3 linked regions of the Rattus norvegicus genome follow. The protein of the gene in region 3 interacts with the protein of the main gene of each other region in a biochemical or structural test. Links are inferred from orthologs where the notes say so. Each region holds a gene or a part of one and is shown on either strand. Other genes may lie near its edges.

Evidence for each region.
Region 1: the proteins of Acta1 (region 3) and Gc are reported together in a solved structure, tested with the Homo sapiens proteins (2 studies listed by BioGRID and IntAct). The link is inferred for Rattus norvegicus from reciprocal best matches to the Homo sapiens genes ACTA1 and GC.
Region 2: the proteins of Acta1 (region 3) and Gsn are reported together in a solved structure, tested with the Homo sapiens proteins (3 studies listed by BioGRID and IntAct). The link is inferred for Rattus norvegicus from reciprocal best matches to the Homo sapiens genes ACTA1 and GSN.

Annotation. Positions count from the first base shown.
Region 1 is NC_086032.1:18,926,128-18,929,775, forward strand, and holds part of Gc (vitamin D-binding protein precursor), read left to right. Parts: intron 1-846; coding exon 847-916; intron 917-1,912; coding exon 1,913-2,045; intron 2,046-3,648. UniProt on the Homo sapiens protein: Involved in vitamin D transport and storage, scavenging of extracellular G-actin, enhancement of the chemotactic activity of C5 alpha for neutrophils in inflammation and macrophage activation.
Region 2 is NC_086021.1:39,015,340-39,018,987, forward strand, and holds part of Gsn (gelsolin precursor), read left to right. Parts: intron 1-2,328; coding exon 2,329-2,490; intron 2,491-3,648. UniProt on the Homo sapiens protein: Calcium-regulated, actin-modulating protein that binds to the plus (or barbed) ends of actin monomers or filaments, preventing monomer exchange (end-blocking or capping).
Region 3 is NC_086037.1:68,781,268-68,785,654, forward strand, and holds the start of Acta1 (actin, alpha skeletal muscle), read right to left. Parts: upstream 2,928-4,387; 5' UTR 2,867-2,927; intron 1,886-2,866; 5' UTR 1,874-1,885; coding exon 1,745-1,873; intron 1,649-1,744; coding exon 1,324-1,648; intron 1,135-1,323; coding exon 973-1,134; intron 875-972; coding exon 683-874; intron 548-682; coding exon 366-547; intron 290-365; coding exon 146-289; 3' UTR 1-145. UniProt on the Homo sapiens protein: Actins are highly conserved proteins that are involved in various types of cell motility and are ubiquitously expressed in all eukaryotic cells.

The sequences.
Region 1 (3,648 bases), on a different chromosome or scaffold from region 3:
GTCTCCAGGTTACCTTGCTCTCTTAATGGTTGGTATCAGATCTGCAGGCCACTGCTTTCTAACCACAACTATCTTCTTTGTTCATTCGGCTTTTGAACTAAAACTGCCCAGGTGATTTCTAAAGTCAGAATCCCAGACCCTAAAGGAAAGCTAAGAAGGACTATGATTATGAAGATGCCCTCACTACTCTTGAAGAGCAAGGAAGTACAGCCATTTCCCTAGCTGAATTCCTTAGGAGTCTGGGGTGGTGACAGAGCCCGACTGCAGCTTTCCGAATTACTGTCTTCTTCCAAGTTCAGCCTTAATATAACTAGAGACTCATCTGGGAGTCCAGAGGCTTCTTTCTTACCTTTGTCATTTGGCTTGTTGAAGGCTTAGACGAAACAGACAACAAAAGGGAAGGAGAGAAGAAAGAAAAGGAAAGGAAGAGGGGAGGGAGAGAGAGAAGGAAGACTGGGAAGGAGGGACAGAGGAGCAACCCCCTGCAGCACTCTATACAGAAGGCCAGAGAGAATGGTTTTCGTGTGGGTAGTCCTGACTCACTGACGTGTAGCATTTCACTTTCATGCTGAGTGTCACTTCGGTCTACCTTTTGTGCTTGCTACACAGTAGAAGTTAATAGAAAAAAAATCACAAAATTGAGGCTTATTATGAGGAGATAGATGAAAAGATAACTGCAAATGAAAACTGCACAGGTATTAAGAAAAGCCTTTACTACAGGTCATGTTGAAGAGCAATATTATATAAGTGTATTACATATATGTATATAACATATATAATATATTTTATATAATATAATATTTATTTGAAGAAAAAAGATGGTTACTTTTTATATCTGCTTTCTAGGCCGAGATTATGAGAAGGATAAAGTTTGCCAGGAACTCTCCACGCTGGGGAAAGATGACTTCAGATCTCTGTGAGTTGCCATATCTGTAAAGTTCTCTTGGGGACATGACCTTAGACAAGTCATGTGTGCACAAGCTAACTGCCATGCTATCTAGAAGACTGAAATGGGCACCAAGATGAGGGAAGACTGTTGGCCACTGTGGACCAACAGGTCAAGCAGGTAGAGGTCAGCTGACCTGTGGTTACTGTGGTCTGAGAAACCGTCACTGGTAAATCTAAGGAATGAGTTTGTAGTGAAGCATACATACGGGTTTCTGAGATAAATTAGAACTGTCCGTTTTAGGACTCTGGAACATACCAGCAGTGACCTACAGAATATGCTTTTTGTGGGGAAGTTCAAAACAGACTCCAGGCTATTTTGATAGGAACTACAAATCCAGTTTTTTTACTGTTGTCTTAGTTAGGGGTTTCTATCGCTGTAAAGAAAGACCATGATCACAGCAACTTGTATAAAGGAAAACATTTAATTGGTTCTGGCTTTCACATTCTGAGGTTTAGTCCATTATCATCATGGCAGGAAGCATGGCAGCATCCAGGCAGACATGGGACTGACAAAGAAGCTGAGAGCTCTACATCAAGATCGGCAGGGAGCAGGAAGTGAACTGGCTTGAGCTTCAGAGACCTCAGAGGCTACCCCCTAGTGACACATCTCCTCCACCAAAGTCACGCCCACTCCAACGAGGCCACACTTCCTAATAGTGCTACTCCCTTGGGGCTTATGGGGAGAGGGGCAGCATTTTTTCAAACCACCACGACTGTACACAAGATAGTTTTTCATAGAACAAACAAATGCTCTACATACAACTTCATATTCTCACCTTTAGACAAATAGAAAAAGTTAATGCATAAAATATTTTATTTAAAAGTGGAATAGATATCCTATTTTGGCGTGAGTCAAAAATGCCAAAAAAACAAAACAAAACAAAACAAAACAAAACAAAACAAAAACAAAACAAAAAACAAAAAAAAACCCCTCAATTAACATGATCGCTTTTCTCTCCCTCAGATCACTAATCCTATACAGCAGGAAGTTTCCCAGTAGCACCTTTGAACAGGTCAGTCAGCTTGTGAAGGAAGTTGTCTCCTTAACTGAGGAATGCTGTGCTGAGGGAGCAGATCCCAACTGCTATGACACCAGGGTAAGTGTGTGTGTGTGTGTGTGTGTGTGTGTGTGTGTGTGTGTGTGTGTGCGCGCCTGTCTGTCTGTCTGTCTATCTGTCTCTATTGTGGATCAGGGAAAGGACTAGCCATAGGCCTTTATGTCACATTTTCAGGACACTCTAGATACCAAGTCACCTACTCCCAGTTAGAAGGAAAATTAAAGACTATTATTTTTAGTGCCCACATTTATCTTATTACTGAGTTCCTTTTATTCAGTGTCACTACAAGTTCCAAAAGAAAACTGACTGGATAAGGTAACTGAATGACTAAATAAATGCTGATAATGAGGACCGTGTGTCAGATTTAAATCCAGGTTGGACTCTTAAAAACTTTTAGAGTCGTACCCAAAGATTGGTGCCTAATACAATTGTCATCAGAGAGGCTCTACCCAGCAGCTGACGGAAACTGATGCAAAGACCACAGCCAAACCATTAGGCAGAGCTTGGGGGAAGCCAGCAGAAGAGGGAAAGGAAGGATTATAGGAGCCAGAGGGGTCAAGGACACCACAAGAAACTCACAGAATCAACTGACTTGGGCTCATAGGGTCTCACAGAGACAACTGAAAATTGGCGACCCTGCATGGGACTGAGCAAAGTGCTCAGTGTATATTATGGTTGTGTATCGTGGTCTTCTTGTGGGGATTGTAACAGTGGGACTGGGGGATATCTCTGACCCTTTTATCTGCTTTTGGGACCCATTTCCTCCTACTGGATTGCCTCAGCGAGCCTTCATAGGAAGGGAAGTGCATAGTCGTATTATAACCTGATATGCAATGTTTGGTTGATATCCCTGAAAAGCTTGCTTTTTATCTGAAGGGAAAGGAAGAGTAGATTGGGGGAGAAAGGGGAGGAGGCAGGGAGGGAGAAACTGTGGTCATGATATGAGAGAATGTATAAACAAATAAACTTTTAGATCACTTTAAATTTGAACCTCATAAATACAAACTCATAAACCTCTTAAAATAACTTTAACATGTGCTATGTAGTCAGTATGCATGTCGGGGTATAAAGAAAACCCATATATCAGGTACATGCTTGTACATTTGCCTGTGTTTTCTCTCCTATAGCATTTACTTAGAAATTGAAATCCTGAAGGAAGAAGATTAAAATTCAGTGTACAGACAGTAACTGATGAAGGCAGAGCTAAGGAGACAAACCTTTACTAATGAGGTCATTGGCCTAGGTACAAATAGGTGGACCTGGTTTAAAGGCCTCCACAGAACAATCAGTGTCCGTTCCACACCATTATTACAATAGATTCTGTATGGTGACTACCCTTACCCAATGACTGGCATGTGTGCCCCCTTCAGCCTCTCTTTTACATCATTTCTTTCCCTGCCAAGTTCATCGGTGCTCATCATTTCAAACTCACTGCACACCATGTCATCTTGGGATATTTGAAAACAGGAAAACCCAGGAACTTACAGGAAGCTAAAGCCAGCGATGTGAAGAGGATGCTCATTTAGTAAAGGGAGGAGAGGAGGCCATGGGAAGTTATCCTTGATTGTGGTCTAACTGCAAGAAAAAGGGGGGTAGGAAATTAGATGAGAGCCACTACCAGAATGTCTCCAAGTGTTCCTCA
Region 2 (3,648 bases), on a different chromosome or scaffold from region 3:
TATGTGTGTATATGTATATGTGTATATAGGGTATGTATATATGTATGTATATGTATATGTGTATATGTATGCATGTGTGTATGTATAAATGTACGCATGTGTGTATGTGTGTGTATATGTGTATGTGTGTATGTATAAATGTACGCATGTGTGTGTATATGTGTATGTGTGTATGTATGTATGTGTGTATGCATGTGTGTATGTATAAATGTATGCATGTGTGTATGTGTGTGTATGTGTGTATGTGTGTATGTGTGTGTATGTGTATATGTATGTGTGTATATGTGTGTATGTATGTATATATGTAAGTATGTATGTCGATATGTGTGCATGTATGTGTGTATGTGTATCTCTTCAAGTGTCATTCTCTGGGTCAGCAGCAGTGAGTAGAATGAATGCATCAGGACTCTCAGGCCCACCAGCATCTTGGTGCCTCATGCCACGACTGTTCCTACCTCAGAGGCTGTTGTGAGTCCTACATGGGCAGCATTGCCCAGCCTGACTGCTGCTTAATCATGTGACCCTGGGGTGCTGTGGGTGACTGTGGAGGAAGCACAGAATGCTAGGGTAGCTGCCCAGTGTCTGTTCCTCACCTCATCCCCAGCGACTGCCTCAACCCTTGCCCTCCTCCAGCCTTCACACCATTCTTGGGCCTCAGGCATCATGGCCACCTGAACTCAGGTTTATTCTTTCTATGATGGGAAAAGTTCCTGGCTTGCTACTGACTTGTGGACTTTCCAGTCGAGACGGAAGCCACGGGTGTAGCTGAGGTCATTCCACCCAGTGGCACCACAGCTGCCTGGTGGTGCTGAATAGGCTTTACGCCCACACCAAGAAAGGACACCAGAGGGCGCTCCAGCCCCCAGAAACTCAAAACTGCTTGTACCTGGGCCTAAGATCTGATATTGGGAGGAAGGACATGATTTTGCAGATTCCAACACACTGTGGTTTGATGCCGGCCGCACTACCCATCCTGCTGTGAGAGCTTGGGCGAGTCCCTTCATGTGTGAGCTCTGCTCTCCTCACCTGTGAGATACATGTGGAATGTGTGGTATAGTGGGTATGATCACGTGATAAACACATCCATTCCACTTACTGTTACCGTGGCTAACACGGGCCTCCTAAAATGGCCGCCTCAGCCTCCTTACACCCATCATGATTGTATGGCTAGGGTCAGTGCAAGGAGATGGGCAGATAGGGTCCTGACTGGGGTGGTCTGAGGACCTATAGAAGCCTCCAGACCCTCACCCTCATGGTACATGGAACAGGGAGACCCATAGCAGGCAGCAAGGCTGGAAGCCTTGAGTGTGCCCCAGACCTGCTGAGCATGCCAGAGGAAATCACTTCACTTCTCTGGGCTTTGGCTTAGGTTGGGCAAAAAGAGTGTAAGGTGGAGGGCTGGTGAGTACCTGAATCTGGAGCCATCCCAGACAGCTTCCTTAGACTTTCTACTGAACCAGTGTGTCGGGGGTACGGGGGCGCAGCTGGGGTAAGGAAGCCTCTGAGCAGGGTCCTTCCGAATTTGGTGGTGGCTGAAGGATGCAGGAGAGGCCTGAGGCTAAGACTGGGGAGATGGTTACTGAAAGTCATCCATTGCTGTGATGGAGGCTGGCCCTTTCCTCTACCCGCATGAAGGCTCACGTGGACCTGTGGGCTTACAGGACCCCCGCAGGAAGAAGGAGACAGGGTAATGTGGGCTAGGGGTGTCCAAGACGACCTTCAGAGATCCTCGCATGATGGGAAGGGCTGTAGTGGGTTGGATTAGCGCTTATCAAGGAGTGTCTTGCAGAATAGGTGCTGGAACGGGGTGAGGTGGAGAAGAGTGGCGAGCTAGGGAGAGACTGTGGAATATAACCATAGGAGCCCTTGGTATATATGTTCGTGCTCATTGTGTAACAGTCAGGCTCAGTGAGTAAGGAACATCCCCTACACTTTGATGACTGATCTCTTTCCTTGAAGAATAGCTTGTGTAGTGTGCCACAACGTGCCCGCCCCCTGGGGAGCGCTGGTTTTGGAGAGGAATGTTTACAGTCCTTTGATCCAGGAAGTGGCTTCTGAGATCTTTGAGGTGGAGTGTAAGGTTCAGTGGAATGTAGTGGGTAGGGAATCTAATGCTTTTTAGCCACATGGTTTTGGTAAATGTTATTCATTTTACTGAACCCCAGAAGAGAATGTCTCAGTATCAGACACAGTAAGAGTGACGTTCCTGGGTGCACTGAGTATCTATCCAGTAGTCGGAAGTTTCCTTCCCTCAGTCCTGTACCCCCTCTGTTATCTACTTCACCAGACCTCCTCCCCTGGACTAACACTGTCCCCTTGACCTGACAGAAAGGAGGCGTGGCATCTGGATTCAAACACGTGGTACCCAACGAGGTGGTGGTGCAGAGGCTCTTCCAGGTCAAGGGACGCCGTGTAGTCCGTGCCACTGAAGTACCTGTGTCCTGGGACAGTTTCAACAACGGTGACTGCTTCATTCTGGACCTGGGAAATGTGAGTCTTGCCTGCCCTTTCCCAAGGCCACTGTGGTGAACTTGGCCAGGTCTGACTCTGGGGAGGGGAAACACTGGTGAAGGGGTGCATGAATACTTGGGGGATAGAGACCAGAGGCTGACAGAGGTGTCAGGCGGGCAGATCTAGATTGGATAAGTCTGGTACTAGATTACCACATGTAGACTCAAGCTTGTCTTGCATGTGTACACGGACCTCGGGTTCCCATCACTCACACAGTGATCTTGAAATGCAGCCTCTCTGATATCTGACACACAGTTATATGCCCTTTAAAATATAGACACTCACCTCTAAGCACATGGCAGCTATGGGCAAACCTGAAGGTCCTCGTCCACTATGGACACTAACCCTACAGTGAGTGCCCACACATACAGACCTGGATGGACCCATAGTGTACATGCGACATAAACATCACAGGTTGCCTATGTACCTAGTATGTGATGCTGTGTGTGGTACGCATGCCAAGGCCTGCTTACAGGTTAATGGTGATGCTTCTCACATACTCCGCATGAGCACAAACCCGCAGACGGTTACAGCCAGACATTGTGCCCTAAAACTTCTGTGCACATGAGCCTGTGGTATGTGTAAGGGTGTTTGAGGTGCATATTCATCTGTGTACCATGTGTACCTGATCCCTACAGAGGTCAGAGGAGGGACGTGGCTCCTCTGGGACTGGAGTTATAGATGGCTGTGAGCGTCCATGTGAGTGCTGGGGGTCAAACCCGGATGACCTGAGAGAGCGTCCAGTGCTCTAGAGCTGCCTTTTAGGCTTCAGTGTAGTTTTTTTAAAGTGACATGGCAAGCTGTGCTATACTCCCAGCTGCTGTTCTGTATCTCACCCAGCGAGCGTACCTGCAAACTCCTAACTGTAGATCAGGAAACAGCATCACAGCTCTCTGCAAAGCATTGGCTGTTCCTCCCAGTCCCTCTGCCCTGAGGGCAGCCTTCAGAACTCTCAATCGGATAGACTCGGTTTGTTTGTTTTTTGGTTTTCTTGCACGTTTCTGAAATTATGTGCAGGAGACCGTCCTCTCTTATGTTGAATTCCTTTTTTCAACCGTGCATATCTGAGATTCCTCCATGTCGTTGGAGCTCACTCTTGCTTTGTGAGAGTCAACTCTACAGGGACTCAGTGGCTTC
Region 3 (4,387 bases):
TGAATCTATGTACACGTCAAAAACAGGCGCCGGCTGCAGTGGCGGCGATGGAGCCACGGCGGAGGATGGGGCCACCCTGCAACCATAGCACGATGGTCGATTGTCGTCCTGAGGAGAGAGAGCGCGTACACAGACGCGGGTGCGCCTAGAAGCATTTGCGGTGCACAATGGAGGGGCCGGCCTCGTCGTACTCCTGCTTGGTGATCCACATCTGCTGGAAGGTGGACAGCGAGGCCAGGATGGAGCCGCCGATCCACACTGAGTACTTGCGCTCAGGGGGGGCGATGATCTGCAAGACAAGAGTGTCAGGTGCCTGCGAGTTCCCCCCGCCCCTGGTCTCCGCCCATACCAGGCGCGTCATCCACCTTGATCTTCATGGTGCTGGGAGCCAGAGCTGTGATCTCCTTCTGCATGCGGTCAGCGATACCGGGGTACATGGTAGTGCCCCCTGACATGACGTTGTTGGCGTACAGGTCCTTCCTGATGTCGATGTCGCACTTCATGATGCTGTTGTAGGTGGTCTCATGGATCCCCGCAGACTCCATACCTGGTGGCCCGGGGGAGAGGCAGTGTGAGCAACCACAGAGTCAGACTAAGGGCACCGGCGGGAGGAGACCCCGTACTCTGAGGCGTGGGATGAGGGAAAATTGATTCCGGCAAACCAGCGGAGCCGGAGGCTCACCGATAAAGGAAGGCTGGAAGAGCGTCTCCGGGCAACGGAAGCGCTCATTGCCGATGGTGATGACCTGCCCGTCAGGCAGCTCATAGCTCTTTTCCAGGGAGGAGGAAGAGGCAGCGGTGGCCATCTCATTCTCGAAGTCCAGGGCCACGTAGCACAGCTTCTCTTTGATGTCGCGCACAATCTCACGTTCAGCTGCAGGAGCAGAAGCAGTGGGAGGCCTCAGAGCAAGGCCTGGGGCATGTGCTCACCCTCTGCCGGCCCACCCTCAGCGGGGCGTTGAGAGCACGCACCTGTGGTCACGAAGGAATAGCCACGCTCGGTGAGGATTTTCATCAGGTAGTCAGTAAGGTCGCGACCAGCCAGGTCCAGACGCATGATGGCGTGTGGCAGGGCATAACCCTCATAGATGGGCACGTTGTGGGTGACACCGTCCCCAGAATCCAACACGATGCCTGTGCAGGGGAGGAGCAGTGTGTGAGTGGAGGGGACCAGCAGAGAGAGCAGGGACAGTGGTTCTGGACTGGGGGTCATCAGGGATTGAATGGGAACGGTGCAGGGTCTGAGGCAGAGGATTCAAAAGCTGGGCTGGAATGTTGGGGCGACGCTACCTGGACCAGAGTGGGCCGTGTGTGAGCACTCACCGGTGGTACGGCCGGAGGCATAGAGAGACAGCACCGCCTGAATAGCCACATACATAGCAGGCACGTTGAAGGTCTCAAACATGATTTGAGTCATCTTCTCCCGGTTAGCTTTGGGGTTCAAAGGGGCCTCAGTGAGCAGGGTCGGGTGCTCCTCGGGGGCCACACGCAGCTCATTGTAGAAGGTGTGGTGCCAGATCTTCTCCATGTCGTCCCAGTTGGTGATAATGCCGTGTTCAATGGGGTACTTCAGGGTCAGGATACCTCGCTTGCTCTGGGCCTCGTCGCCCACGTAGGAATCCTTCTGACCCATACCGACCATGACACCCTGCAGATGGAGACATCAGATACTTGTTACTACAGCCAGGGGGCAGGGAGAACACCGGCTGTATTCGGAGAGCCTATCTTCTGCTAGCAGCCTGACCTGGTGACGGGGCCGACCCACGATGGATGGGAACACAGCCCTGGGGGCATCATCCCCGGCAAAGCCAGCTTTCACCAGGCCAGAGCCGTTGTCACACACAAGAGCGGTGGTCTCGTCCTCGTCACACATGGTGTCTAGTTTCTGCAAAGAGAAAGTGTTGAGCGTTGTGAGTATGTGATGGGGGTTAAGGTGAAGCTCTGCTTAACCCATCTTCACTTTGGAGATCCACACACTCCTCTCCCCCAGCCCCTTCCTTGCACAGGGCCAGAGGATGCTCTCCCAGGTCAAGGCTGTGCTTTTTGCTATGGGAAGCAGTTTGTTGGCCACTTTAATCCCTCCATGTAGGCATGCAGAGGACATCCTGAGATCCTCAGCCTTCGCTGTTGGCCACACATGTCACAGCTAGCGCTGGCGCTATTCCTCTCTACTCAATCTCATCTGTGAAGGAGGCATTAAGGTCCACCTGCCAGTCTTATGAGAGCGGCAAGGATTTTGCCCAAGGAAGGGTAATACTGTCCCAACTCTGGAAAGAATTGCCCGTTTGAAGCCCCACGGCATTCCAAACTCAGAAGGAACCCTTCCACCCGCCTCCTATTTCAGAGAAGAGTAGCCTGGCACGGTGCTGGGCTTTAGAAAAGCCTTGAGCTCAGAAGGCTAAGACAATGCTTGCCTCTCTCCAAACTCATCTTCAAGTCAGTCTCCCAGGGGCTGGCTCTGTGGGAGATCCAGCCCACCTCTTGCATCACAAGGGCCCAGATTTGATCCCAGCAGAGAAAGAGGGTGGGGAGGAGAGAGGGATGAAAGGCAGGAGGGGAAACTAATTCAGGGAGAGAAATCTCAACCAACCAGGGGCTGGTGTGTGGCTCGGTAGGAAAACACTGGCTTGCTCACTTGCAGGAGGACTCGGATTTAGTCCCCAGCAAGGGGGGGGGGAGGGTAGAGTCTGAGGGTGGAAATGGATGGGTGTCAGACACCCCCTCCCACCAGGCAAAAAAGTCAGCATCCCAAATGGGCTGGATATGAGTTTGGAGAAATTTCCAGAGCCCAGTGACAAATACAGGCCCAAGGCTCAATAGGTTTCTCTGCTGGGTCTCCAGGTCACCCTCCCCACCTCCACCCTACCTGCTGCTCTGACTCTGGCCCTGGGTGCCGAGGGTAGGAAGTGAGGCTTCACGTCCGTGTGACCGCCTGTCCCTAGCTCAGGTTTTTATATAGTCCTGGAGCTCTCTCCACACCGCCCCGAAGGAATGTTGTTGCCCTTCCCAAGCCATATTTGGGTGTTGGGCACTAGAGTCCCTTCGGCTGCTTCTCAGCCTGGGTCCCCGCCCGGGTCTCCTGCACTGACCAAAGAAGGAGAGAACTGGCCCTGGCCCAGGTAGCTAGGACCGGACCGGGCCGTATATGGAGAGTATCCCAGCTGTCCGCTCCTCCCAACTGGCTCCAAGGCTGCTGAAGGGCTGGGCTGGACCAAAGGTCACTGTTTTGCCGATCACTGATCTGCACTTCCCAAGTTTTACCTGTTTCAAAGGTCTCCCCAGATCTGCCCACCTGAGCGTGATTGCTGACTTGTCACAATGCACTCCACCTACGGGTTCTTAACTCAGACTACCAAACCCTGATGCGAAAGCCCAGGGGAGGGAGCCCTGTTGTCAGATGAGCTGGGAGGGGTCATGGGCCCCAGATAGGGATGGAAAAGAACCCCCACATTCAAACATTTTCTTCCCCACCTCAAAGCTCCCCAATCCAGAGATCTGACACACATCACCCCCATTCACCCCCACAGGCTGTCAGTCAGTGTAGAACATGCAGCTGTCACTGGGTAGACAACTGGTGGAAGAGAGGGGAGGAGGTAGTGAGGGGAGAGGCATGGTGGCTATGTGGCCTTGGCCCAAGGAATGTGAGGCCAGGGCATTAGAGCTGTCCCCGAATTCTACGTGTACTCTTGAAAGGAATGGAAGGGCCAGTGTGCGCATGTGTATCCCAAACTCTGGAATTGACTGGCATCTTGTTGGCTAGGTTGAGCAAATGATACCCGTTCTCCTCTGGTGGCACTAAGTTTCCCTCCCCTGGGTCTGAGCAAAGGGTCCCACCTGGAACTGTTGGAACCTAGAGGGGGCTGAGGCAGGGAGAGGTGGTGATGAACGTGCCTTCTAAGGAGCACTCAGATCTTACCCTGCAGCCCAAGAGCAGCTCCTCCCACCAGACTCATCTTTATATTTAGAGGATGATGCCTGACAGCCAGGCTGCTTCCCATCCACCTTGGGGGCACCACCTGCCAGGCCTGTGTGGGTTCTATTTATACTGCAGATAGATGGGGATCTATCCGCCTTTGGGTTTCTAGAAGGAGCTACTTATGGAAGCTGGGGCAGGGGGGTGAGTAGAGGTCATCTCTTGGCGCCTGTCTCAATTTGGGAATGGAGAGGGATAAGAAAGCCCAAAGGAAACTGTTCTGTGACCAACCAGGCGACATGCTTGGAGGGGTGCATCAGAGCCAAGCCTCCATGGAGCCATTCACTTTTCTGATGGCTTAAGCGCTCCCAAAATAGCTGTTCCCATTTGGAGTGGAACTTAGCAGCTGGGACAGGTGCAGAGCCTCTGAGAGAAGAGGCTCCATGAAGGGACTCCAGGCTCCCACACAGCTCT